Neurospora crassa OR74A: one gene and its partners. The protein of the gene in region 1 purifies or fractionates together with the protein of each later gene. This does not show direct contact. Links are inferred from orthologs where the notes say so. Each region holds a gene or a part of one and is shown in the gene's direction. Other genes may lie near its edges. The genes, in order: NCU03066, NCU09528, NCU00105, NCU05235, NCU00794, NCU01203 and NCU03669.

Region 1 (4,108 bases):
TATCGGGACGTGGGTAGCCAGCCACCTTCGTCGCTCGCAAACATGGTGGAGGTAGTCCGCTCCTTTGAGAGACTGATGGGAGAAGGACAGCAATATACGCATAGCGGAAATCTGGAAATGGCGATGCGTAACTTCAACAGTGCGCTTGCTTTTTGCGAATCAGGGGCTGCTTCCGGTGCCATTCTGAGCGGTGACCGTTACAAACAGTTGGCTTTTACCAAACTCGGTGGTACACACAGACGCCTTGGCAAGTATGAGCAGGCAAAAGACCTGCTCGAGCAAGCAATGGCCATGTCGGCATCAAGTGAGCTGCGCATCGAAGCCAGTGGCGAGCTTGGTGTTATCTATCAGCACATGGACCTGATGGATGATGCAAAGCGTGTGCTTCGGGTTCAGTATGAAACAGCAAAGGAGTTTTAGGCGGAGCACTTCGCGTGCCGGTCGATCGGAAACCTCGATACGGTCAACTAGCAACTGTCCCAGCAGCGTTAGGATGAGTCGTTGTTGTAATTAGCGATAAATTAGCTCCTTGAACGCGTTGAAAGGGCCCATCAGATCAAGGATACAATTGACTCGCAAGTCCTGGATGCATTTACAAGAGAACAGCGATTGAAGGGTGCGATAACTTGGGAAACAATCGGTCTCTTCCGTCTTTCTCTACGCTAAATGGGGGATACCTACGGAAGAGTTTCTGAAGATACTCCCTCATGTGAAGCGTGATAAGCGTGGTTTCTGGGTGATATGTTACCTCCCCACCACAACCCCCTTTCTTGATGCGTATTCGATGCTAGCATGCTATTTTGCTTCAGGACTTTGTCTACGTAGGCCAAGATGACCCAATGTCCGGAGTGTCTGCTCTGCCGATAATCATTGCATAGTGCAATGCCATTGTCAGCTTAAGCGACGATCAATTATGCGAGCGGGGCACGGTGTTCTGTTGAATCCATGATGATCCAAAAACTCAAAAAAAGCGTACAGCGTCCATGTGTGGTATAAACAAGTGCTTGACGACAGAACTGATGGCATCCAGAACTGCACCTTGACGGACGGTTCGATGGATTTGAGGATCGTCATGGCAGACAAGTGTTTGATTGTTGAGACGGACCGACCTAAAGTCCTCTTTCTGGAAAGGCAATGCAAACCACTTGCGTAAAGAGTCGGTAGCAATAATTCTTCATATACATATAGAGAACAAGCGCAACCACACCATAAGTGTATCAATATAATTTACATTCCACGTTTGGCTAAACACAAATCAAACATACAATACGACTGTAAATTACAGGCACGCGCATCTCCACATTCGAAGCGGGGACTTCTGGAATCTTGGTGGAGTTCAACACGGCGGATCCCTGCTTTATCAGAGCTTATCTAGGCGGTCAGCAGTGGCACAAACCGTTCCTCCACTCTAATTTTTTGACGACCATCAATCAGTACAGCCGCCCATAGTAGCGACCGGATTTTGCTGCTTTACCTTGCTGTCCCATCCTCAATTATCCTCCTGTACCTCCTTTTTTGACATTAGGAGCAGCATATCTTCAAAATGGCCGGATCGATAACAAAGCCCAAAAGTCAGTCAATCTTTCGCTGAGAACAACATATTCTTCCAATCAACACATTGACTGACGTTACTTAAAAACAGAGCCGAAATCGAAGCGTACACCCGTACGCCTCAGGCACAAGATCCAGAAGGCCTCGGCCGCGAAGCAACGCAAGGACAGAAAGCTCGCCAAGAAGAACCCAGAATGGCGCTCCAAGCTCAAGAAGGACCCGGGTATCCCGAACCTTTTCCCCTACAAGGAGAAGCTGTTGAACCAGATCGAGGAGGACCGCATTCGGAGAAAGGAACAGGAGCAGAAGCGTCGTGAGATGGCCAAGGCGGCCAAGACTGGCCAGGACACCAAGACGGGCGCCGAGGGCGATGTCGAGGCGTTCGATGACGATCTGATGGACGACGACGATGCTATGGAGGAGGATGGTAGCGACGTTGACGATGAGTCGAACCCCCTCGCTGCCCTGGTGGCCAGCGCCAGGAAAGCTGCCGAGCAGTACGACCGCGAGCTCCAGAGCGGCGACGAGATGGACGATGACGACGAGTCCGACGACGAGACCGATGGCGAACCCACACAGTCCGGCGTTATTGAGGTTCCCGGCGGCGCCTCCTCGCGCAAGGCTTTCGACAAGGTCTTCAAGCAGGTTGTTGAGCAGGCTGATGTCATTCTTTACGTCCTCGACGCCCGTGATCCCGAAGGCACCCGCTCGAGGGACGTCGAGCGCGCCGTCATGGCCGCCGCCCACGGTGGTAAGCGCCTGATCCTCATCCTCAACAAGGTCGATCTGATCCCTCCCCCGGTCCTCCGCGGCTGGCTCACCCACCTGCGCCGCTACTTCCCCACGCTGCCGCTGCGTGCCTCCAACCCTGCCCCCAACGCCCACACCTTCCAGCACCGCGACATTACCGTCCAAAGCACCAGCGCGGCTCTCTTCCGTGCGCTCAAGTCGTACGCCGTCTCGCGCAACCTCAAGCGCTCCATCCAGGTTGGCGTAATCGGCTACCCTAACGTCGGCAAGTCGTCCGTCATCAACGCCCTCCTGTCCCGCCTCAGCAACAGCCGCGGCCAGCACAACGCCTGCCCGGCCGGCGCCGAGGCCGGCGTCACCACCTCGATCCGCCAGGTCAAGATCGACAGCAAGCTGACGCTGCTCGACTCGCCCGGTATCGTGTTCCCTTCCACTGCCGGCAACTCGACCTTCACCCCCAAGAACCAGACCGAGGCGCACGCCCACCTGGTGCTCCTTAATGCCATCCCGCCCAAGCAGATCGAGGACCCGGTCCCCGCCGTGACGCTGCTGCTCAAGCGCCTGTCGGCCACCCCCGAGTTGATGGACAAGATGATGAAGGTGTACGACCTTCCCCCCTTGCTGCGCGACCCCAACAACGGCGACCCCACCATGGACTTCCTTGTCCAGGTTGCCCGCAAGCGCGGCAGGCTGGGCAGGGGCGGTATCCCCAATATCCAAGCCGCTGCCATGACTGTCGTGACCGACTGGCGCGACGGTCGTATCCAGGGCTGGATCGATGCTCCCGTCTTGGCTGTGGCTGGTACCGCCACTGCTCCTGCTCCTGCTGGCGGCAAGTCTGCTACCGCTGATGAGCCCCTAGCGGATCAGAAGGTGATCGTGACCGAGTGGGCCAAGGAGTTCAAGCTGGATGGTCTTTGGGGAGATGAGGAGGAGACGGCGACTCCGGATGTTGAGATGCAGTAGAGCGATTTATTCCCCCTATCTTTGTCTGTTGGCAGTTGTTGTTGAGCATTTCACTTTTTGGTTTCTTTTTTGTTTTCGGTTGCGTCGGTGGTCAATGTCGTAATGAGTATTTTGTTGTTTTGCATGTCAGAAACACAATACAACGAACCCCGGAGCTGGACACATCTTTGTGAAGAGGCGTTTTGGCGTCAAGGTGGGAAAGAGCAAAAAGGGAGACAGGCAGGCCGGCTGGTAGAAAATAGGTCAAATATAGCCTGATCATAAACACCTCTATGACAAAGGCTTTTGAAGTGAAGCTTTAAATTCTTTCTGACATTCCCTGCATCGTTCATCATACCGAGCTGTGTTTTCAATGGCCTATTATCGAATTCGAAAGCAACGACATTCCGAAAATGACTTCATGAACGTTTGGATAGCCGAAAGTAAAAAAACAATGTATTGCTCTACAAAAGTCCATCAAGGGTATTCTTAACCTGTACCCCTTCTCAAATACTGAAGCATCCATCTTCAACAAATCTAATAAGTACTAACAAGCTCCATCTTCACCCCCCTCTTCCCCGTCGTCTCATCCTTCTGATCCGTCACCCTCACCCTGACCTTCTGGAACAACTCCACCTTAACCTCCCTGCTTCCCGATGTGGTCAGCGTGTACGTCTCGGCATCATACGTCGCCGCCGGCTCCGGCTCCGCCAGGTCACGCAGACGGATCAAGCTCTCGATACCGAACTTCGGCACGAGCACAACAAAGCCATTGCTAAAGATCTTCATGACGAAGCCGTCCTCCTCCGTAGCCTTGCCGCGCAGGGCCTGGCCGACATAATAAGCAATGCTGGCACGGCCG
Region 2 (3,342 bases), on another chromosome or scaffold:
TAAACCTCATGGCTAACGAAGTCTACGCCTAGACTTAACAGGAAGGTGACTATCCCAAGCATGGCCCCCCTCATCAAGTTCTGAATATCTCCATGTTGCATTGAGGTTGGATGGGGTTGAAGAAGGAGGGGGAGGTGGGTAAGATGTTGAGTTCTGCTGCGAACTATGGGCTGGGCGTTTGAAGAGAGAGGAGTTGGGGAAGAAAAAGCAAGACCTCGGTCGCTGTCTAGGTACTTGTATAGGCAAACGTCTAGAACACCATGAAAGACAATTGGCTGGCCACTACAGTACACCTATGTATGTCGAACGGCTTCCCATTCTGCGCAGTGTTCTTCCGGGCTCTGATGGGCATTGGCCGGCATGTAGCAGGGTGATGATGACCGAGGCACTTGAAATGAACATGTCAACAGTTAGGTCGCATACTACCGAATGTCTTTGGAAGTACAAGGCTGACATTTGAAGGCGGGTTGGATTTGAATAAAAAAGAAATGAAATTTCAGGCATGACCCGCGTGCCTGCGTCGAATGGATAGTGGCGGGGGCCATGGAGGGTGTTTTGGGGATGGGATGAGACGGGAATCAAGTTGCCCTACCGGAAAACTTGCAAAGTGCGTAGCTAGTTATTTAGCAATGATTACAAGTCTGTTCATATCTCCAATGGGTAATGATCATGGTGACAATGGTGAGGTGGTGACTGGCGCGGCCGCTGGCGCCTCACCAGTTGCGAGCAGAACAAGAAGCCGCGGCTATGATGGCCGTGAAAGTTAGGGTCCAATTCCGAGGAAATAGTCGTTAGGTAAGTTGCCATCATCACCCTTGGGAGAAGGATTGTTGATGAACGAACTGGTGACGGCAATAAAGGCAAGCAAGATACAAGAGGATTAGAAACGGAACCTGAGGAAGCGGTATTTATGTACGTGCTTACATACAATACACCACTTACACTACCTAGGTACACACTTACGCAGTAGGGACTGTATCTTTATTACGGCCCTCTTGCCAGCTGGCGACTGGACTGAGGGAACGTACCCAAGCTTGCCAAGTAACGAACAACCTGTAAGGTCGATAAGGGACAACAGCCCCACTATAATTCTCTTATCGGACAGGAGCCATTGCAGTTCCAGTTCAATCGAGTTCTCTGGGGTGGTTTCCCCCGAAATTTTGGTCAACTTCCGCCTTCGTTGTTGTTGTCGCCGTCATCGTTCTTTGCTGGTTTACTCCCATTTCGCCTTCTTCTTCCCAGCATCTTTTGGCAGTCGAACTCCTGTCCTTTCAGCAACACCACATAGTACCTACTTCCCGAAAACCACAGCAACAATGGGCAGAGAACTTCAGAAGCGCAAGAAGCGCTCGTCTCGCGCCAAGGTCCAGACGCATACCATCAAGAAGAAGGTCTTGAACCCCCAGGGCAGCGGCATCGTTGCCAAGGCCTGGTAAGTACCTTTCTCTTCTTTTTGTTGCCAGATATTCGAGAGGAGATTCAGTACTGACATGCAAAAATTGATGTACTACAGGAACAAGAAGGAGACCCTCTCACAAAACTACTCCCGCTTCGGTCTCGTCGCCAAGCTCGGCACCGCCGCCGGCGGCATGGCCAAGAAGTCCGCCGCCGCCAACTACGCCGGCATCACCAAGGATGATCCTTTGGCCGTCAAGTCGGCCGATCGCGGCCTGTTCGAGGTCCGCGAGGTCAAGGTCGAGCGTGACGCCTCGGGCAAGATCGTCAAGGTCCTGCGCTCGGACAACCCGCTCAACGACCCGCTCAACGAGATCGAGTCCGACTCCGAATCCGAGGAACCCAAGCCCAAGAACCCAACCCATGATATCGAATGGCACGGCATCAGCGACGACCGCCAGGAGATGATTGCCCAGAGCAGCCGGCCCGAGGTGGTCCGGATGCTCGAGGAGGAGGCGTCGCGCCCTGTGGAGAAGACGGTGCGCTACCAGAGCGAGCGCGAGCTAGAATGGCTGCAGCGACTAGTGGCTAAGCACGGCGACGATGTAGCTGCCATGGTGCGCGACATCAAGTTAAACCCGATGCAGCAGACCAAGGGCGACATTACCAAGCGGTTGAGGAAGGCTGGCTTGTTGCAGTAAAGAAGCGGACGAAGAAACGAGGGAGGGGAAGAAGGGGGCAAATTGCATGCGCGAGTGTGATGTGAACTTCATCATCACTGGAATGTGACTGCTTCTTGCAAGGGGATGTTCTTGGGATCACCGGTGAGCTCGGTTTGTGGTCTGAAGATAAGGGTAGAGATGAGGGAGCCTGGCGACAAATGCCCGGACCCATGTCCAGTCTCGTCCTGTAAGCTGGGCTACGAGAGTCGGCGGGAGGGAGAAAGAGCGACCCAACACGGCTGATCCTTCAGCCGAGATGGCTCTGCTCGACAGGTCTCGAAAGAAGAGAGCAACGGATTTTGTCTTTCTCTCTTTGTCTCTCTTTCTCTCTCAGACTGGTATAATGCCAGTTAGACTCTCCCCGCTGTCGCCTCATCATACTTCGCTTCAGGGGGCGACCCTCTCGTGGAATGGGGAACTGGCAAAGAAACAGGTGACGGAGCTACTTCGGCTCGCGCTCCCTTGCTCAACGGTAATGAGCAAAAGCAAAACGGATGATGGGACGGGAACCAGGATTTCTTGTGCAGCATACATACTATTCATTAAGGCCACGGGCGTTTTAGGCGTTTCTCAAAGTACATGAAAAGAATTAGGGCCATTGAGCCATCCACATATATCGTATCATATCTTGTTTGTCACCTAGAATCATGTTCTACGTAGATCTCCACAAATATGGGAGAGTTTAATAAGAATGACACAGATACAAAGCATTCCATGAAGCCGATATGAGAGCTTTGTGATTCATTGTTGATGCACGAAGATATCTCTCTCGTTTCTATGCATGATAAACCAACAAGGACCTGTGACGCCTCGCCAACGACACCCCATAAAACAAAGCCTACACACATACATACACAAGAAAAAGCCCAAAATGTTTCGTCTAGTGCCAGCCAGCCCCCAATAACAAAAAAAAAGAAAGCAGGTAGCCAAGACACTTTGTACATGACCTAAGCATGCTGCAGCGTATAGCTACCCGGTATTGCATCCGCTTCCAGATCCAAAGTCGATCAGTCCAGCTCATCCATATCCCTTGACTTGAATTCTCGACCCTTCTGTTTTTTTTAATCCCATTCTTACACATTCCCCCGTTCGATTCCTACTCGGCCGTAGGGCGCAGTGGGAAACCTTGCCGATGGCTCATCCTCGTAGTCCCCATCATGCACACTAGGCGGCGCGTACCTGCTGCCGCCGCCGACGGAGGATTGATAATCGTTATCGTTGTCAA
Region 3 (3,146 bases), on another chromosome or scaffold:
TGGACGTTACTGCAATGCTTCTTTTCACTTCCGTCTTCTCCTTCCACTATAATCCTTCACCGTTGTTCTTTGTCTTCGTTTGCGCAGATGAACAACAAGGGACGTTCTCTCCCAGTTGGACGAACCACAATGTCGGTATCCTCACACTCCAGCATCTCTCTCTCACCATACATACCTTTTCCCATCTACAGGTCTGGCCAAGAAGGCGCAGTAAGGTCTTCGGCGATTACCGCGTAAGGGAAGCTCCTTGCGCATCCGTGATTTCTACGACGAGATAGTCGAATACGTAATGTTGCGCATCGTGGTGGGTTGGGTATCATGAGATTCCTCTAACCAGCGCGCCCAACGTGAGCCAGTTTGGTTGGTCACACTTCATATTCCTTCGAGATGGATGAATTCGGTGCATTCGGTGGTATTCTATACCACAATACTCCCACGTCTCGTTTGCCACTATGTAGTCATCAACACCTCCCCACTTGAGAACCTCGGACAGGAACGGAGACACTGGTTGAGGAGTCTGAATGGCAATCGATCAACTCGATGCTTGATACTAGTTTGGCTTCTTTTTGTGTCAGTAGAAGTTGACTTATAATCCCTCTTTGATGGGTGCAAGGCCATGGCTCGACCCATTCACGACCAGAACCACAAGCTGCCACTTCCAACGTCAAGTGGCCTTCTAGTTACGCTTTTGTCAGTTGAACAGCGAGCTTCTTTGCTGCGATATCACTCCGATATGCATTACAATCTCTGGAAAGCTAACTTGCACGGTTAACCCTGCCAGCAATCTGGGCTACCAGGACGATTGAGAAGTCAGCCAGGCTCGCCGCGCAGGAAAACAATCGTGTAGATGAGGACCGAATCCTGAAAGAGAGTAGCCCGCTGGATACAGCTGGAGATCATTGGCCTCGACTGGGGTTTGTTTCTTCCATCACACCAGGACTTGGATGAACATCGCGATGCAGGAGTTCCCTCTGGAAATATAAACTTCATGGATGTGGCATATTATCCGCTTCAGGTTGTCACTTCAGTTGCCGGCCTGTGACAGTGTCGCTAGGGCGGCACGCTGGGGTCGCGCACGGCAAACGTAGAAGCGGGTAAAAGTGGGACTCGGCTATTTTAGCTACGAGTATCCACTGCAGCCATTGCATCTAAAGCGGAGAATTGATGGCTTGGCGTCTCCCCATTATCGGAAGAGTGGGTTTCCTTGTCGATAAAAAAAAGTTCTGGCAGAGAAACGCGGGCGAACCTCCATCGGTTGCGGCTGTCAGCGCTTGGAGATTCCCTCGCATTGCATCACCAACTCCATCAATTCACAACACACCGACAAGATGCGCCCTCTTACAGAAACGGAGCAGAAGACCGTCTTCGAGAAGGTCAGTTTCAGTGCCGAAACAATGTCATATTCAAACAAGGATGAACAACAGCTGACTGATTGCTTTGGCACCCTAAAGCTTGCAAACTACTGCACCGATCTCAAGAGTCTTATCGCTCCTCTCGATGATGGCGACAGATACGTTTTCCGTCTGAACCACTCTCGCGTACGTCCTGCCTCTCTCGCCTCCCTCGCTTCCTCTCGACCTTGCTCGATACACCGTCTCTTCCCTTTTGGCTGTGCGCCACCGAGGACAACGACAGCCGTTGCGACGGCGATGACAGCCACCACACCACCACCAACCAGAATAAGGGCCAGATAAACTGACAAAGATGATGATATACAGGTTTACTACGTCCGTCTCTCCGTTGCCAACCTCGCCACCAGTGTCAGCCGCGATGCCCTCCTCAGCCTGGGTACCTGCCTTGGAAAGATGACCAAGACGGGAAAGTTCAGACTTCACATCACTGCCCGTACGTTCCATGTCCAATGCCGAATCCTTATGCGGTTACTGAAACAGTTGGAATGTATGTGAAAGCTAACAACCTGATTACCAACCTTATAGTTCCTATCCTCTCGGAGCACGCCCGTCATAAGATCTGGGTCAAGGACAACGGTGCCCAGCCCTTCCTCTACGGCTCGAACGGTATACCTCTCCATCTCCTGGTTCTCTGTCCTACTAGCCTCATGAAAACTAACGGGCATTTGAAAACAGTCGTCAAGGCCCACGTCGGCCGTTGGTCCGAGGACTGCCCCGAGCACTCCGGTGTCGTCGTCTACAGCATGGCTGATATCCCCCTTGGCTTCGGTGTCACAGCTCGTAGCACAACCGAGGCACGCCGCCTTGATCCCACGGGTATCGTTTGCTTCCGTCAATCGGACTGCGGCGAGTACCTCCGTGATGAGGACACCCTCTTTGCTGGTTAAAGTGTCGGTCCGAGTAAGAAAGAGGGAAGGAATTAACGAAGGCTTGGAAAAGAGAAGGTCATATGAACTTTTTTTTTGCTTTAGGGAAGTACCATAAAGGCGTCCTGGCGTTTACAACACACACATACACTTTTGGTCAGAATCAGATACCTCCAGCATTTTTATCTGGGCAGATATAATTTGATCTTTTTTCTCGTCGAGCAATGGGGCAGGACCGAGACATACCTACATCCTTTATTAGGAAGTGTGATGGGATCCTCTCGACCTCGTTGTTTTTATACCTGTGGAAGCCATTGTTCGTCCAGATCCCGACTTACGCAACACTCAAATTGTATCTGTTTACGTCGTTTTCAACACGTAATTTCAAGGTACGAACCCCGTCCATGTTTTTGTATAATCGCACTTTTTCTACCAAGCCATACCTTCAAGCCCGATGTCCCCCAACAGGACTAGCCGGCCTACTCACCGTATTGTAAAAGCTCACACTCTCCCTCTGCGCCACATACTCGCTATCCGCATACCCCAACAGCTGCCCAATCTCCACGCTCTGATGTCCCTTAATCCTTGCAATCTCGGCGCTCGCGTAGTTGGTCAGGCACCGGCCCACCTCGACCGCTTCACCCTCCCACATCTTGCCATCCGGACCGGGCGTAGACCGGCGCTTGTCAACGACGCACAGGCGCACAGCCTCTTGCTGAGCAAAGAAACCCTCGACGTCCACTACGCCGACGGGAAGCAGCCCAGCTTTGCCGAGGAGAGCCTTGTACGCGCCCTGGTCGATGTACAAAGTGCCATGCGGACGCAGGCCGTGCAGGATCCAGAAGTAGCGGTCGCGGACGGGCGAGGG
Region 4 (3,500 bases), on another chromosome or scaffold:
CGTCTGGCTGAGGCATGGTGTAACCCAGGATTGAGCGGGGTAGGAGTGGCAGGCAATATCCAAAATCCAATCATCTCGAGTGGCTGGACGTCACTTTTGTATCACAGCGGCCCGTCTGTGAGTTCCGTCGTCTGATTCTGTGATGTCTAATGGCACCACGGAGCGAGGAGTGGTCCGGTGCGCGTGTGCTGTGGCTGGGGGAGGAAGCAGTAGGTGTTGGGTTTGTAATTTTGATCCTTTGTACATTTCAGTAGATACCAAGTTTGAGAAGGAAGATTACGGTGAACCGCATGGGATAATTACCGACAAGAAACTGGAAAGAGATAGCGACATCTTGACTTTCCTATACTTAGTGTACGGTTTGTATCAGGAAAGAACGATCTCGGGACCCTTACTGTCGCAGGGCAGGAGCTAGTCTGGTGGAGCCTCAGGGGAACCCGACTCCACTTTTGACGCTTTCCCCGGATTCCGTCCCCGCATCTTTGAGTTAGCGCTGTGGATCTGATGGGGCTCTCGGTCAGCACCCGACCCTCAACTCCGCTGTGAGTGAGATGAAAGGAGCACTGTGATTGGGGAAGGAGTGAGGAAAGTCCATTGCACTTCAAGTTCAATCTGAGAGACGGAGATGCGTTATATCAACCAAGTGTCAAGGAAGACCTCTTTTTGTGTAAAGCCTAAGTAGTCACCTTCAACAGACACTGGCCTACTGCCGACGGAGTTTCCATCACAGAAGGTCTTGATCATTGTGAGAAATGACAGACAATTCAAGATCCGATTTCGCCACAGTCTCCGAGAAGAACTTGACGCCTTCAGTTGTAACTCGAATAGATTCTTCAGACATGGTAAAAATTGCAGTCACGAACACCGATGATACCCGGTGTTGAACATTGTAGAGGGTGTCAGACTTTAATCGTTAGCAGTAACTGATGGGAAAGAAAGAGAGTGGAGCTAGCAATGTTAGGGTCCGCGAGAGTCCTGTTAACAGAAACCAATGCCATCTTGGTGACTGAACATTGTCGCGAAGCGAAAAGATCGTGAGCTCAAGAAGTATTGTTGGATGGATCGGGGAATATACTGATTTGGGAAAAGTAAACATGCCCGTCGACTTGAGCATCATGGCCATCGCTTGTCGAGAGAGCATCGAAAGTAAGCAGCCGCAATTGCCGGCCAACTTACATCGAGGAATCGATCATCGGGAACCATCATTGTCAAATCAAGAGAAAAGAACCGTCTGGGCTGGCGTATATGCACGCTCAACCCTAACCCGAGTCTTGTCGGCTGATAGCACGATAGCGCTAAGATAAGCCAAGCGTCCCCTCCGCCCCACTTTACTTTTCCAACACCGACATCCAGAAATTTTCAGAAGCGGCGCCCTTGACCGTTTCGCTGTTGTTGACTTTGTTGCTTGCTTCCCCCTCTCCTCCCCCCCCTCCCGAACAGACAACGAGCCCATCCTCACCCGGCTCGCTGCTTCTCTCCTCAACCACCACCACCACCACCACCACCACAACCACCCACATAACCCGTCAAGATGCGTGTCGATCCCTGTTTCTTTTGCGGCCGTCCGGCCTGGCCCTCCAAGGGCATTACCTTTATGCGTAACGATGGTATGTTTTTGTCATACTTCAGTTCCCCATCATCAACCTCTCCGTCAAGGCCAATTGCTAACCAGGGTACAACTAATGTTACAGGCAAGTCCTTCCGCTTCTGCCGCTCCAAATGCCACAAGAACTTCAAGATGAAGCGCAACCCCCGCAAGCTCAAGTGGACCAAGGCCTACCGCAAGAACGCCGGCAAGGAGATGGTGGTCGACAGCACCCTGCAGTTCGCCGCCCGCCGCAACGTGCCCGTCCGCTACGACCGCGAGCTCTTCGCCAAGACGGTCAAGGCCATGGAGCGTATCTCGGAGATCCGCCAGCGCCGCGAGCGCATCTTCTACAAGCGCCGCATGGCCGGCAAGCGCGCCCGCGAGGTCGCCGCCGCCCGCAAGCTCGTCGCCGAGAACGAGCACCTCCTCCCCCGCCTGCGCGGTTCCGAGAAGAGGAGGCTGGCCGAGCTCGCCCAGGAGACGGGCCAGGACGTCGAGGAGCTCGAGCGCGAGGAGCTGGCCAAGAAGGCTGCCAGCAAGAAGACCAAGGCGTTTGGCGGCGAGGTCAAGAGGCTCCGTGTCAGGACAGACGGCGGCGTGGAAGAGATCTCGGAGCGCGTCGCTGGTGGAGGCTTGGTCGATGAGGATGACGATGACGAGAACGATTTCGAGGACGTGGACGATGACGACGAGATGGATACCGACTGAGCGCCCGAGTCTCTGTAACTATTACTACCGCGACCACCACCACCGCCAACCACCACCACCACCATCACCAACACCGAAACCAGCCACCTCTTTTCTCGGGATCATTCGTTGTTTGCTTGTTTTCTTCGGACGAACTCGCTCCCGCGGCTGTCGATATCCCTATGCGGGGGAGGGTTCTGCTGTATTTTTTCGGCGGCCTTTCCTCGCCACTGAGACCTGCCTAGTTGACACCAGCAACAAAGCCCAACTACGACGAACGGGTCTTGGTGTATAAAGACGGAACGACCAGAAAGAGGACAGGACAGACAGCAATTGGTTGACCAACAGCCAATACTCTAACTGTAAAAACAGTAACTGTGGCTTTGGACAGACAGACAATCCTCCCCCCCGAGCGATGGCTGCTTTCGGGGCTTGCTTATACCCCTTGCTTGGTTGGTTGGTCGTTGGTCGCTACAGGTCATTGGAAAGATTCATTATATTCAGAACCATGGTTTTCAAGGGGGGGATCAATCAGTCTACCTTTAGTAGCAAAGCATATTTTCGGTTTTATTGGAATCGGCGAATTTGGCGTTTAATAGACACGGGGAGACCCACAATATGAAGTACTTGTTTGTTTTTTTCTTTCTGCCATGTCTTGTCTTGTTTTATAGTAGTAATCCTCAGTACTTTCTGACTCGACAAGTTACTCGTTTCTGTCTTCTGCCAACGTGACTGACCTCTGTAGCTCGAGACCTGACTAGGTATCCTAGCCAAGGATATATCCAAGGTCAATCTTGGACTACTACCCGTTCGTTGATTCCATCTTGCACTCAGTCGACAACACAACAACTCTAAACAACACCTAAAAGACACAGTTGGTTCAAGTCGGTAACTAAATACAAAGTATTATATCTTTTATCATTTGTATTATTATAAGCGTTAAGACCCGACAAAACCAAACCAACCCCTTCCTTCGCATGCTAATGCTCCGATCGCCTTGCTTTAGCCAGCCAGCCAAACCGTAAGCACAAAGCACAGCCAAGTTTCTCATTATAGTTTGCTTCCCCATTTGTCAGGTTGTCTAGCCCACCCACCTCTATTTCCCTCCCCCCACCCCCCATCATCATCATCATCAAGTTCCATCTCATTCTCTCATCATATATTTACCCCATTATATCGTTAACCTCGTTAACATCGTCAACATGATCATCATCCCCATTGCTGT
Region 5 (4,096 bases), about 2.7 Mb from region 1:
TCGATGCAATCGTCGCCCGGGATGCCAATGCAACTACAGGCATCTCTGAAGCCTTCATCGGTCTAGTGCTCATCCCCATTGTAGGCAATGCAGCTGAACACATCACATCTGTGAGCGTGGCACTCAAGAACAAGATGGACTTGGCACTGGGCGTGGCACTGGGCAGCAGTATCCAGATTGCGCTGTTTGTGACGCCGGTAGTGGTTATCTTGGGCTGGATCATGGATCGAGACATGTCTCTCTACTTTACCCTCTTCGAGACTGTCTGCATGTTCGTTAGCACCTTCATTGTGAATTTTCTCGTTAGAGATGGGAGGAGTAACTACCTCGAGGGAGCACTTTTGGCATCTGCCTACCTCATTATCGCCGTGGCAGCGTTTTACTTGCCAAATCCAAGGTTGGCTAGCTCTGTTGGGTAAGGGTGAAGACAGAATTTAGGATGGGAGGTCGGAGTGTGTAGGCTACCTAGGTTCGGATGACAGATGAACGGTTATGGTTGAGGCCCAGACCGAAGGAGTAGTTTGTCTTGACTAAGGAGGTTTAGGCTTTTGCCAACAGCCATATCAGTAATTGTCGTAGCAGAGGCCGCATCAGATGCAGTATCAAAGCTAGTACCAGAGCCAGTGCCAGCCGTGACCGTACCCGACTTGGGACCAGCAGCAGCCGCAATACTTTGCAAGTGGCATTGGGAAAGCGAAAACCCGGGCAGCCTGGAATATCGGGACTGCCGGTCAATGAGAAGCGAGGGGAATGAGAAGTTTGGTCAATAAGTAGAGATAGTTGACGAGTATCCTGGTGAAGGGAATCCAGGGTATAGCGATTCCTCTGGACGTGGGCGATATTTGAGGGTCTGGGTCACCTAGACAAAGGGAGAGAAATGAATTTTTGTGCCTTGTGTAGTAGTATAGAGAAACAAAAAGGCGTCATGTCGGAACATGAATCCCCTCCGGAGGAGTCAAGAACAGCCGGGCGATGCTCATGCTGGGTTCATACATAGATGGGAGATCACGTAGGGTATACAGTATAACAGCTGTTGGGAAGCAGTGGTGACGACAAGTGGGAGTTGACTCGGAGTGTTGGAATGTTTGGAGATGGGATGATGATGACATGGGATGATGCCCGATGGTTCAAGTGGAAGGTTTGGATGCAGACGCACTAACAGCGCTAAATCGTAAACAGCCCTGGCCCAGCTTCGTGATGCCCCTGTGGAGACATGGGGAAAGCAAGTGTGGGTCAGAGCTCCATTGGAACTGGACATGCCAAGCCAGTTTTGCACGCCATCACCGCCAAAATTTTGGACTGTCCGCATTCTGCTGGGTCCAGCCTTTGCAGGGGCAGCAAGTCCAGTGCAAACCCAGAAGGCCCCCAATCCATCAACACTTCCTGGAAGTCGGGCGAGTATCGCAACACACTTTCAGCGACAACTTCTGGCACAACATAATCCAAGATGGCGACAGTACTACCACCCCCGTCGAAGCGCCAAAAGAGAGAGGAGATTGAGCGCACCACAACACAGCTCGATGTCGCCCCGATACTGGCGCCTGAGCTCGGCTCCTTCAAGGCCAACTTCGTCGACAGCGATGGCAACCAGATGACCGATGTCATCGAAATCAACTTTGCCGATGCCACCGAAAAGAACATCTCCGTCTTGCTCAACACCCTGCTCGAGAGGGACCGCGAAGAGTTCACCCCATACCGATTCCGCATCCATATTCCCGGCAAGGATATCATTGTCGACCAGTACCCTTCCGACCTCCTCGGCCTTCTCAAGCAGCATGGTGTCGAGAACCCCTTCGAGTATGCAAGACCCGGACACAGGAAGCCCAGCACGTAACTGCTTCGCTAACCTCCGCATAGAACCACAATTACTCTTAGTGCCGAGCCCCAGGCTGTTTTCAGGGTACAAGCAGTTTCGCGCCTTGCCCATCGCATTCCCGGTCACGGCCAACCCATCCTCGCAGCCCAGTTCTCGCCTATTTCATCCGGACGCCTTGCTACCGGCAGCGGCGACAACACAGCTCGTATTTGGGATACAAATACAGGTACCCCGAAGCACACATTGAAAGGGCACACCGGCTGGGTCCTCGGCGTCAGCTGGAGACCCGATGGAGAGCAACTAGCGACCTGCAGCATGGATGGCACAGTGAGGATATGGGATCCCGAGGCCGGCAAGCCCGTTGGTCAGCCTTTCAAGGGCCACGCCAAATGGGTGTTGATGACGGCGTGGCAGCCGTACCACTTGTGGAGAGACGGCACCCCTAGGATTGCCAGTGCTAGCAAGGATGGTACCTGTAGGATTTGGGTTGTCAACACAGGCCGTACCGAGCACGTCCTGAGCGGTCACAGGAGCTCCGTCGCCTGCGTGCGATGGGGTGGAACCGACCTCATCTACACGGGTTCGCACGATAAGGTTGTCCGGGTATTCGACGCCGTCAAGGGCACCTTGGTACACAGCTTGACATCTCACGCCCACTGGATCAACCATATTGGTTTGTCCAGCGACCACGCCCTGAGGACCGCCTACTTTGACCACACCAAGGACGTCCCTTCCACCGAGGAGGGCAGGAGGGAGAAGGCCAAGGAGCGTTTCGAGAGAGCGGCCAAGATCAATGGCAAGGTTGCTGAGCGCATCGTATCTGCCAGTGACGACTTTACCATGTACCTGTGGGACCCCACCAACAACGGTACCAAGCCCGTTGCTAGACTTTTGGGACACCAGAACAAGGTGAACCAGGTCCAATTCTCTCCCGATGGCACTTTGATCGCCTCGGTTGGTTGGGATAACAGCGTGAAGCTCTGGAATGCCAGGGATGGCAAGTTCCTCAAGAGCTTGAGGGGTCATGTTGCACCCGTGAGTTCCTTACCCACATTCATCTCTTACCACGAGGGGAAAGTTCTAACGCGTTGATACTTCAGGTCTACCAATGCTCCTGGTCCGCCGATAGCAGGCTTCTGATTACGGCTAGCAAAGATACTACCCTCAAGGCATGGAATGTGCGCACTGGCACTCTCGCCATGGACCTTCCCGGACACGAAGACGAGGTATGTGAACCAAATCACGGCGACATCGGTGTTCCCACTGCTGGAAAATTCTAACTCGCTTCCAGGTATACGCTGTGGACTGGTCGCCGGATGGCAAGATGGTAGGATCAGGCGGAAAGGATAAGGCCGTGAGGACATGGAGAAACTAAAGAAGAGGGCAAGAACGAACCTTACTCTCCTACAGCCAGCAGTCGGAACCCGAGAGCCCCCGCTCTACTTCACTCGCGGAGGCCTCAGCGGGGTGATATGACTTCTGGCCTGCTTCCGTGGTGTTTGCAGCAGTTTGCCGTTCGCACGAACGAGCCGGCTTGGGATACTACATGCCCAGGTATCTGCCAGAAACAACTTTCACGGCAATCTTCGCGAGCCAAGTTTCCTTGACGTCAGCCTAGCTACTAGTATCGGCTCACCAAAGAGGCCTTGCTGAGTCAATACGCAACACGGCTGCACACATCACCTCGACTCGCAGGGTGGTGATGTTGTGTGGCTGTTAAGTGCTTACCGACTGCGCCTCTGCCAAACTTTCCGAATCGCTGGGCAAGAGCGAAAGAGGCGATGGAATGGGCCTGGCAAATCGGTAAAATCTCCCGCCGCCAGTTCAATGTTACCAAACCGCGCGACCACACACCAAGACCAACAAGACGCTCGAAAGATTTGGAAAATGGAAAGCACCATAGATAGACAGAGACGTGGTCATGTTAAGCGATGTCCGGGGGTATCCATTTGAGGTTTGATAGATGCGAGCATTTGATGGAATGGTTCTCATTGCGCGCATCATGCAGGGCGTTACATAGGTGCCACGATATAGACAAGGATAGTGATATGCATTCATGGCAACCTAGAGAGACGTTGTTTAATCATGACGTTTGGAGCTAGTGAACCAGCCGTTGATGTTCAGAGTTACGAATATGTAACTTTCGAAGACGGCATATGATTCACTTTCCCGAAGCAACAGACCAGAGGTAGCAAGAACCACGCACACTGCAAGCCTTTTTTTTTCTTTTTTCTGAAGCATCCTTCGAAGGCCCGGACGGGAGCTGCCACTGGTCCTATG
Region 6 (2,740 bases), on another chromosome or scaffold:
AGCTAAACTGTCCGCGCTTGAGATCCATATGGACTGGTTCGATAAAGTCAGGCTGGTAAGCCTTGAACTCGTTAGGGTCTGATACCATGACAAGGGTATAGTCGCCCTCAAGGGTATCGAGCACCAGGCCCAACTGATCGTCTATAGTTGCACAGGTTAGTACGGGGCAATTCAATAGCCGACCCGTGATCCGAACTAGACATACCATTAGAAGCCAGGATTTGCGCCCTATTATCCTTGTGCTCCAAGGAAGGTAGATGCGTGAGGTCAACTTTGACGATACCGGCAACCTTCCCCTTGGCAGCGCAGGCTTCCTTCACATAATCCTCCAACGAATGGGTTGAGAGGTCGCCGACTACCTCCGCAACGCTGAAACGGCCCTTGATTTCCTTGCTTGCGATTGTGTCGCATAGACTGCGCATTTTACAGTGCGAGCCATCGCGGATGTCGGCGGCGTGCACGTTCGGCTGGGAGACGATAACGTAGTCTTTCGTAGGACAAGAGGAAAGGATCTCCTTGGCGGAAGCAATCACTTGATTGCTGGTTTGGAGCTGATCGTATCTTTCGGGTGTATTGAGCCTGGAAATCACGGTTTCGCAAGGGTCAGCATCTTCAGTCGAAGTCACATGCATGAAAGCGCAACTGAGTGGGATGTGGTGCACAAGATCGTGATGGCGCGAGGGCAACTTGAAGGGACACCACCCACGGCGACAATTGGGACATGACGTACCTGGAGGTGGAAAAGAGGACAAATGGTGAAGAGTCCGAGAAGGCATGCACTGCCGTAGAGGCGAGCAGAGTTGTTACTATCGAGAGTTTCATGATTTACAGATTATGCCAAACTGTCTGCGATATTGTCGTCGTCGTCGGTTGTTGTGTTGGATATGCGAATATGGTGTAGTGTACAAACTGGCAGCGTGGTGTAGCTCCAGGATCCAGAGCCCGGGAGCGTGGATGTCACTGCACTGAGAGAGCGCCAGACGTCTGATGCATGGGATTGGGTGCTGGGTGTGACCGGCAGGCTATGGACATCAGAGATAGGCGGTAGAATAGGGCAGAATACGATAAGGCCGCTTCCTGCATGGTGCCCCGTTCGAGTGAACATTTGAACAGGGGGGTGGCTATCAGTAAATTTACAGTTGAACCCAGAGCATCCAGATCGCTGCATCCAAACATCCTTCCCGCCCTTACCTCTACCTCGATTTCTTGTTCCCTTTTCTCCACAAAACCACCAAACGAACTTTCCACTCAAAGTCAACCCTCGAAGCCATTATGGAGAGGGATCCAGCGTTCTTTGTTGCCCCAAGGCCCAAAAAGAGTGGGCTCGCGCCGCCACCCAAGAAACGCAAGATAGTGCACAAGGTCGAGGAAATCACATTCGACAAGGACGCCCGCACCGAATATCTTACCGGTTTCCACAAGCGTAAACAGGCCCGAATCAAGGCTGCGAAGGCGCAAGCAGAGGAAGAGGCACGGCTGGAACGAATTAGGTTGAGAAAGCAGGTACGTACCGGATGACCGCTGTCTTTCTTGGTTGGTTCCATGGCAGTAAGTCTAATCTACGTCGGGTACAGATCAGAGAGGAGCGGCAGAAGAACCTCGAGGAACATATCCAAACAGTGCACAAGCTTCTCCACGAGGCAGAGCGTGCCGGTACCGACGACAAACCCACCGAGAACAAGTCAGACGACGAATGGGATGGGCTATCCGAAGACGATGTGGCGGAAGAGCCTGCGCTTGATGTCGAGGAGGAGTACATCGATGAAGACCGCTATACGACCGTGACAGTAGAAGCCGTCAGCGTAGACAGGGACGGCATCCACAAACCACGGACCTTGAAGGACGAAGAAGATTCCGAGACGGAGAAGAACAACAAGAAGAAGAAGGCGGCTGAAGAGGCGGCGCAGCAGGAAGCCGACAAGAAATCAAAACGAAACTTCCCAGAGAAAAAGAAGAAGAGAAAATTCACATACGAAAGCCGACATGACCGAAACGTCACAGAGAGGAAACAGAGGGCAAAGAAAGCGAAGCGGTCGTGATAGGTTAGATGGCGAAGGAAATAATCTACCGCTATTCCTGACAGCGGTATCCCTTACGATATCTAGATCTTGTTTAAGTACTGTATGTGCAATGCTGGGATGATGGATTATGCTTTGAACTAGTAGGCAATATGAGTTGTACGCGGGAGTTAGATAACGGCTTGCTTTGTCCGTCTTATCTCCCTACTCGACAACCCGAGGACAAACGGCATAAAGGGTCAGGCTGATATTATCGATGCGGTGACGCTGTGAACAAACGTAAAGAAAGGAATTTCCACCATGTTCCGACTGCATCCGTTAACCAACTTAGATGTTGGCAATATCAGCCTGGAACTCTTCCAAGCTCTTCTGTACCTCGGCGTACTTCTTGGCCATCTCTTCGTACTTGGACTCCCACTGGTCGCGCTCGTTCTCGAGGGCCTGAACCTTGCGCTCGAAGTGGCCGGCCTTGACGTCGGTCTGGCGAAGCCTGTTGAAGGAGGAAAACATCATGTTAGTCTAAGGTGTCGCAAAGAAAAGGGGTTCAAGGGCACAGGGGTTAGGACCCTCCCCCATCTCATCGTCCAGGGGTGCGTGTATTTCGATGCAAACGTACTTCTCGTTGGTCTCGCGGAGAGTCTTGTCAGCCTCCTCGGCCTCCTCTTCAAGAAGTTGAAGTCTCCGTGTCAGCGTCTCGTTCTGAGTGCCTTGTTGCGCGCCAT
Region 7 (4,258 bases), on another chromosome or scaffold:
GGGTAGGTGGGATACGTGCGATGCCTCAGCCCTCTTGGGTGTTGAAGCATGAGTGATCTTTCGACGCTTGGAGCTTCTCTGGCCATCCTGAAGGCTCGGTAACACATCTGGGATTTCCTCTTCCGAGATGGGCCTGAGAGGACTGGATGGAGTATGAGATCGTTCTATGAGAGGACCGGCTAGATCACGAAGAGCTCTTTGGGAAGCGCTGGGGTGGTTATTCGCTATGACTCGGGGAGTAAAGAAGCGCCTGAATTTCCGGGGGGTGATGGACGGGTTTCGACGTTCCTTGGCTGCGCTTCGCGGAGGAGGAGAGGACGGAATGGGGGGAATGTTGTTGCTGGTGTTCAACGACGACGAGCTCTTAACTCCCAAAGGGGTTGAAGTGCTGTTGGAGTTATCGGCCATGGCGAAAGGATTCTCTTCGACTACCAGAGCGAAGAGCTGGGTCCAGGCCGCTTATGCAACACGATACCTAGAGACGATGTACACGGGGCCGGCGACGCTGGATGCGCGCGACCTGGCAGCGAGGGGCCGCCGATGGCAAGGGTACGCGGAGACAGAGAACAGGCTGTGGTGATGGATATTTGTACAGAATCAGTTGAGCAACAGCTGGCGCAGAGGTATTGCTGGCAAGTGTCGACTGGATATTGGACAAGGGCTGACGTCGAAGTTGCAGGCTAGGCTGTGTGCAGCAAGCAGGCTGAGCTTGAAGAAGGACGGGAGGTCGAGGTCGTCGTTGAGAGACAAGGTAGGCGGCCGGGGGGGGCGTAAGGTATTGGCGCCGAGTTTATTGGTTGGCGGATTTGGTCGTAGTAGTATGGGTCCTCTGAGTGAAGTGGTGCGGCCGGAAGGGGTATGTCTATGTCGGTTTCTGGTGTAAGTGTGTCCTTGGTAGTATGGACTTGAAATTGAATGCGTAGGTGGAGATGTGATGGAATTGGATTTGGTTGTTCGTTTCTGTTGTGGATTTCCCTTGCGTGGTTCAGTTCCTAGAAGTACCTACGCTTTTGCTGAGTTCCCACTTGAGTACCTAGGTTTGCCGGGCAACCAAATCGACAGCCATGGAAACCTGACCTGACCTGGCCTGACCACCCATGGACTCCATTGAACACCTCCTCCAGTGGGCAGAGGCTGGGCGTGCGGTCCGTAGCGGCCGGGGGTCGGGGGGGAGGCGCCTAGAAGGAATGCGGTTTAGTGCTCCATCAGGGGAACGCGAAGACGCGGGAACAAATGACGCGCTGCATCGCGAAAGCTTAATGGCTTTTTCGTCCCATAAATCGCGGTTGCTGAAGACATGAAGATTGGTCAATGCACTGCACTTCAACCGCGGGATGTCTGGCCCACCCTGATGGGGCCCGTCTTGCTCGTTGCCCCACCAGCCGCCGGAGTCCAGTCTCTTATCGCTTATCGCCCTGCAGCTGTCATCCAAAAAAATCATTCTGCAACGACGACCCTGCAATCCCTGCGCTGCGAGTGCTGGAGGGAAGAACAGTCAAAGGGCACCCGGACTGCCATTTTCACCAACCCAAAAAAGTCACCAGGTCGTCCTGCTCAACAACACCAGTCGGAAACACCCCCCGACTTAGAGCACCGGCACCATGGCGATCCAAAAGAAACACGGCAAGGGCCGTCTTGACAAGTGGTACAAGCTTGCCAAGGAGAAGGGTTATCGTGCCCGTGCCGCCTTCAAGCTGATCCAGCTCAACAAGAAGTATGGATTCCTCGAGAAAAGCAAGGTCGCTCTCGATCTTTGCGCTGCGCCCGGTGTAAGTCATAGTCGTGAACATCCAGTTTATCATGGAGTGAACTAACCATGTCTGTGTCCGTCCCTAGTCGTGGTGTCAAGTCTGCGCCGAGACTATGCCGACAAACTCCATCATCATCGGTGTCGATCTTGCTCCCATCAAGCCCATCCCCAAGGTCATTACCTTCCAGAGCGATATCACCACCGAAAAGTGTCGCGCAACCATCCGCTCCCATCTCAAGACATGGAAGGCCGACGTCGTTCTTCACGATGGTGCGCCCAACGTCGGTACTGCTTGGGTCCAGGATTCGTACAACCAGGCCGAACTTGCCCTGCACTCGCTAAAGCTGGCCACCGAGTTCCTTATTGAGGGCGGTACGTTCGTCACCAAGGTGTTCAGATCCAAGGACTACAACTCCCTTCTCTGGGTTTGCAACCAGCTTTTCGCCAAGGTCGAGGCTACGAAGCCCCCTTCGTCCCGTAACGTCTCCGCCGAAATCTTCGTCGTCTGCCGCGGCTTCAAGGCCCCCAAGCGCATTGACCCCAAGCTTCTCGACCCCCGCTCCGTTTTCGAGGATGTGGCCGGCCCCGCCCCCAACAACGAAGCCAAGGTGTACAACCCCGAAGTCAAGAAGAGAAAGAGAGAGGGTTATGAGGAGGGAGACTACACCCAGTTCAAGGAGATCTCTGCCAGCGAGTTCATCAACACTGTCGATCCCATCGCCATTCTCGGCCAGTACAACAAACTCAGCTTTGAGCAACCCAAGAACGGCGATGTAGCATTGGCTGCCCTCGACAAGCTCCCCGAAACGACCGAAGAAATCCGTCTCTGCTGCGCCGATCTCAAAGTGCTCGGCAGGAAAGAGTTCAAGCTTCTCTTAAAATGGCGTCTAAAAGTACGGGAGATCTTCGGCTTCCCCTCCAAGAAGACCCAGAAGGCAGCTGTGGACGAGGAGGTTGCGGTAGTGGAGAACATGGATGAGGAGCTTAGGATCCAGGAGGAGCTGCAAAGGATCAAGGAGAAGGAGACCTCCAAGAAGAAGCGCGAGAGGAGGCGCGAGAATGAGAAGAAGCAAAAGGAGATTGTCCGCATGCAGATGAACATGACTGCGCCCATGGATATTGGTGTGGAGCAGGAAGGTCCCCGTGGTGAGGGTGCCATGTTCCGTCTCAAGACTATCGACCAGAACGCTGCCCTGAATAAGATCGCCAAGGGCAAGATGGCCGTTATCAAAGAGACCGAGAAACCGAAGGATTACGACTTTGGCTCCGACGGCGAAACCGACGAGAGCGACGAGGAGGCCGATCGTCTGGAGGAAGAGCTCGACAACCTGTACGATCAGTACCGGGAGCGGAAGGCGGCGGCCGATGCCAAGTACCGTGCCAAGAAGGCCAGGAAAGAGAACGGCGACGATGAATGGGAAGGCGTATCTGGCGATGAGGAGAAGGGTAGCGACGACGATGACGATGAGGAACTAGAAGTGGACAGCAGTGATGATGATTCCGACTCAGAGGATGGTGAATCTGGCAAGAAACTTATAACAGATCTAGACGGCCAGCCAGAAGAGAAGGATGGTCTGTCCAAGCGGGCCAAGAACTTCTTCAGTCAAGGTATCTTTGCGGAGATACCAGGACTTTTGGAGGAGCCAGAATCTGAGGAGGAGGAGGCTCAGGAGGCTGAGCTTGTTGAGGCTGTGGAGGACCTCAAGGTTACCAAGAAGGAGAAGAAGGAAGCCAAGGAAACCAAGGCCAAGAGCAAGAAGGCGGCCGAGGAGAGCGATGACGACGACGATTTCGAGGTTGTCAAGAACAACGAGGATGACGACTGGGAGAACGTTGAGAAGAAGAAGAAGAACGGCAGGCCTGGTAAGTTTCACTCAGTCCCTCTTCAGTATGACCTGTTAAGGGCAATGGCTGACTATGACAACTACAGACATCGACATCATCACCGCCGAGGCCATGACCCTCGCCCACCAGCTCGCGACCGGCGAGAAGACAAGTTACGACGTCATCGACGACGGTTACACCAAGCACGCCTTCAAGGACCGCGACGGTCTTCCCGACTGGTTCCTTGACGACGAGTCCAAGCACGACAAGCCGCACAAGCCCATCACCAAGGCCGCAGCGCAGGCCATTAAGGAGAAGCTCCGGGCCTACAACGCCCGTCCTATCAAGAAGGTGGCCGAGGCCAAGGCCAGGAAGAAGTTCAAGCAGGCCCAGAGGCTGGAGAAGCTCAAGAAGAAGGCCGATATGCTTGCCGGTGACGATGGCATGTCAGAAAAGGAAAAGGCTGCTAGCATTTCGAAGCTCATGGCGTCGGTTGCTAAGAAGACGAGGAGGGCGCCTATCAAGGTTGTCAAGGCTGCTGGTTCCAACAAGGGTCTCCAGGGCAGACCTAAAGGAGGTTCGTACTATCACTACCTTAAGATCTGGTGTGTTCTTTATGTTGGAATGATGCTAACTCGGTTTTTTCAATTTTATAGTCAAGGGCAGGTACAAGATGGTGGATCC

What was found.
Region 2: the proteins of NCU03066 (region 1) and NCU09528 purify together in Saccharomyces cerevisiae (affinity purification with mass spectrometry; 3 studies listed by BioGRID). This does not show direct contact. The link is inferred for Neurospora crassa OR74A from reciprocal best matches to the Saccharomyces cerevisiae genes NUG1 and NOP16.
Region 3: the proteins of NCU03066 (region 1) and NCU00105 purify together in Saccharomyces cerevisiae (affinity purification with mass spectrometry; 3 studies listed by BioGRID). This does not show direct contact. The link is inferred for Neurospora crassa OR74A from reciprocal best matches to the Saccharomyces cerevisiae genes NUG1 and NIP7.
Region 4: the proteins of NCU03066 (region 1) and NCU05235 purify together in Saccharomyces cerevisiae (affinity purification with mass spectrometry; 4 studies listed by BioGRID). This does not show direct contact. The link is inferred for Neurospora crassa OR74A from reciprocal best matches to the Saccharomyces cerevisiae genes NUG1 and RLP24.
Region 5: the proteins of NCU03066 (region 1) and NCU00794 purify together in Saccharomyces cerevisiae (affinity purification with mass spectrometry; 8 studies listed by BioGRID, with this or other methods). This does not show direct contact. The link is inferred for Neurospora crassa OR74A from reciprocal best matches to the Saccharomyces cerevisiae genes NUG1 and RSA4.
Region 6: the proteins of NCU03066 (region 1) and NCU01203 purify together in Saccharomyces cerevisiae (affinity purification with mass spectrometry; 4 studies listed by BioGRID). This does not show direct contact. The link is inferred for Neurospora crassa OR74A from reciprocal best matches to the Saccharomyces cerevisiae genes NUG1 and RRP17.
Region 7: the proteins of NCU03066 (region 1) and NCU03669 purify together in Saccharomyces cerevisiae (affinity purification with mass spectrometry; 6 studies listed by BioGRID, with this or other methods). This does not show direct contact. The link is inferred for Neurospora crassa OR74A from reciprocal best matches to the Saccharomyces cerevisiae genes NUG1 and SPB1.

Annotation. Positions count from the first base shown.
Region 1 is NC_026501.1:4,414,055-4,418,162, reverse strand, and holds NCU03066 (GTP-binding protein), read left to right. Parts: upstream 1-1,438; 5' UTR 1,439-1,543; coding exon 1,544-1,571; intron 1,572-1,642; coding exon 1,643-3,267; 3' UTR 3,268-3,608; downstream 3,609-4,108. Other genes in the region: NCU03067 (hypothetical protein), read left to right, coding at 1-420; NCU03065 (mitotic control protein dis3), read right to left, coding at 3,784-4,108. UniProt on the Saccharomyces cerevisiae protein: GTPase required for 60S ribosomal subunit export to the cytoplasm.
Region 2 is NC_026505.1:4,474,525-4,477,866, reverse strand, and holds NCU09528 (nucleolar protein 16), read left to right. Parts: upstream 1-1,147; 5' UTR 1,148-1,316; coding exon 1,317-1,432; intron 1,433-1,513; coding exon 1,514-2,096; 3' UTR 2,097-2,842; downstream 2,843-3,342. Other genes in the region: NCU09527 (hypothetical protein), read right to left, coding at 3,191-3,342. UniProt on the Saccharomyces cerevisiae protein: Involved in the biogenesis of the 60S ribosomal subunit.
Region 3 is NC_026503.1:2,638,808-2,641,953, forward strand, and holds NCU00105 (ribosome biogenesis protein NIP7), read left to right. Parts: upstream 1-1,227; 5' UTR 1,228-1,328; coding exon 1,329-1,373; intron 1,374-1,451; coding exon 1,452-1,538; intron 1,539-1,718; coding exon 1,719-1,845; intron 1,846-1,937; coding exon 1,938-2,018; intron 2,019-2,087; coding exon 2,088-2,299; 3' UTR 2,300-2,646; downstream 2,647-3,146. Other genes in the region: pro-4 (glutamate 5-kinase), read right to left, coding at 2,724-3,146. UniProt on the Saccharomyces cerevisiae protein: Required for proper 27S pre-rRNA processing and 60S ribosome subunit assembly.
Region 4 is NC_026504.1:5,664,074-5,667,573, forward strand, and holds NCU05235 (ribosome biogenesis protein RLP24), read left to right. Parts: upstream 1-1,381; 5' UTR 1,382-1,531; coding exon 1,532-1,607; intron 1,608-1,691; coding exon 1,692-2,296; 3' UTR 2,297-3,000; downstream 3,001-3,500. UniProt on the Saccharomyces cerevisiae protein: Involved in the biogenesis of the 60S ribosomal subunit. Ensures the docking of NOG1 to pre-60S ribosomal particles. Activates and recruits ATPase AFG2 to cytoplasmic pre-60S ribosomal particles.
Region 5 is NC_026501.1:7,141,925-7,146,020, forward strand, and holds NCU00794 (ribosome biogenesis protein Rsa4), read left to right. Parts: upstream 1-1,296; 5' UTR 1,297-1,447; coding exon 1,448-1,797; intron 1,798-1,857; coding exon 1,858-2,851; intron 2,852-2,916; coding exon 2,917-3,042; intron 3,043-3,107; coding exon 3,108-3,191; 3' UTR 3,192-3,894; downstream 3,895-4,096. Other genes in the region: NCU00795 (membrane bound cation transporter), read left to right, coding at 1-419. UniProt on the Saccharomyces cerevisiae protein: Involved in ribosome biogenesis. Required for processing and efficient intra-nuclear transport of pre-60S ribosomal subunits.
Region 6 is NC_026505.1:3,224,221-3,226,960, forward strand, and holds NCU01203 (hypothetical protein), read left to right. Parts: upstream 1-1,152; 5' UTR 1,153-1,272; coding exon 1,273-1,503; intron 1,504-1,574; coding exon 1,575-2,039; 3' UTR 2,040-2,240; downstream 2,241-2,740. Other genes in the region: NCU01202 (hypothetical protein), read right to left, coding at 1-141, 206-579, 731-822; tpm (tropomyosin), read right to left, coding at 2,346-2,508, 2,635-2,740. UniProt on the Saccharomyces cerevisiae protein: Essential protein involved in ribosomal RNA processing.
Region 7 is NC_026505.1:2,021,227-2,025,484, forward strand, and holds the start of NCU03669 (AdoMet-dependent rRNA methyltransferase spb1), read left to right. Parts: upstream 1-1,458; 5' UTR 1,459-1,601; coding exon 1,602-1,769; intron 1,770-1,836; coding exon 1,837-3,613; intron 3,614-3,680; coding exon 3,681-4,151; intron 4,152-4,230; coding exon 4,231-4,258. Other genes in the region: NCU03668 (WD domain-containing protein), read right to left, coding at 1-408. UniProt on the Saccharomyces cerevisiae protein: Required for proper assembly of pre-ribosomal particles during the biogenesis of the 60S ribosomal subunit. Specifically methylates the guanosine in position 2922 of the 25S rRNA at the stage of 27S pre-rRNA maturation.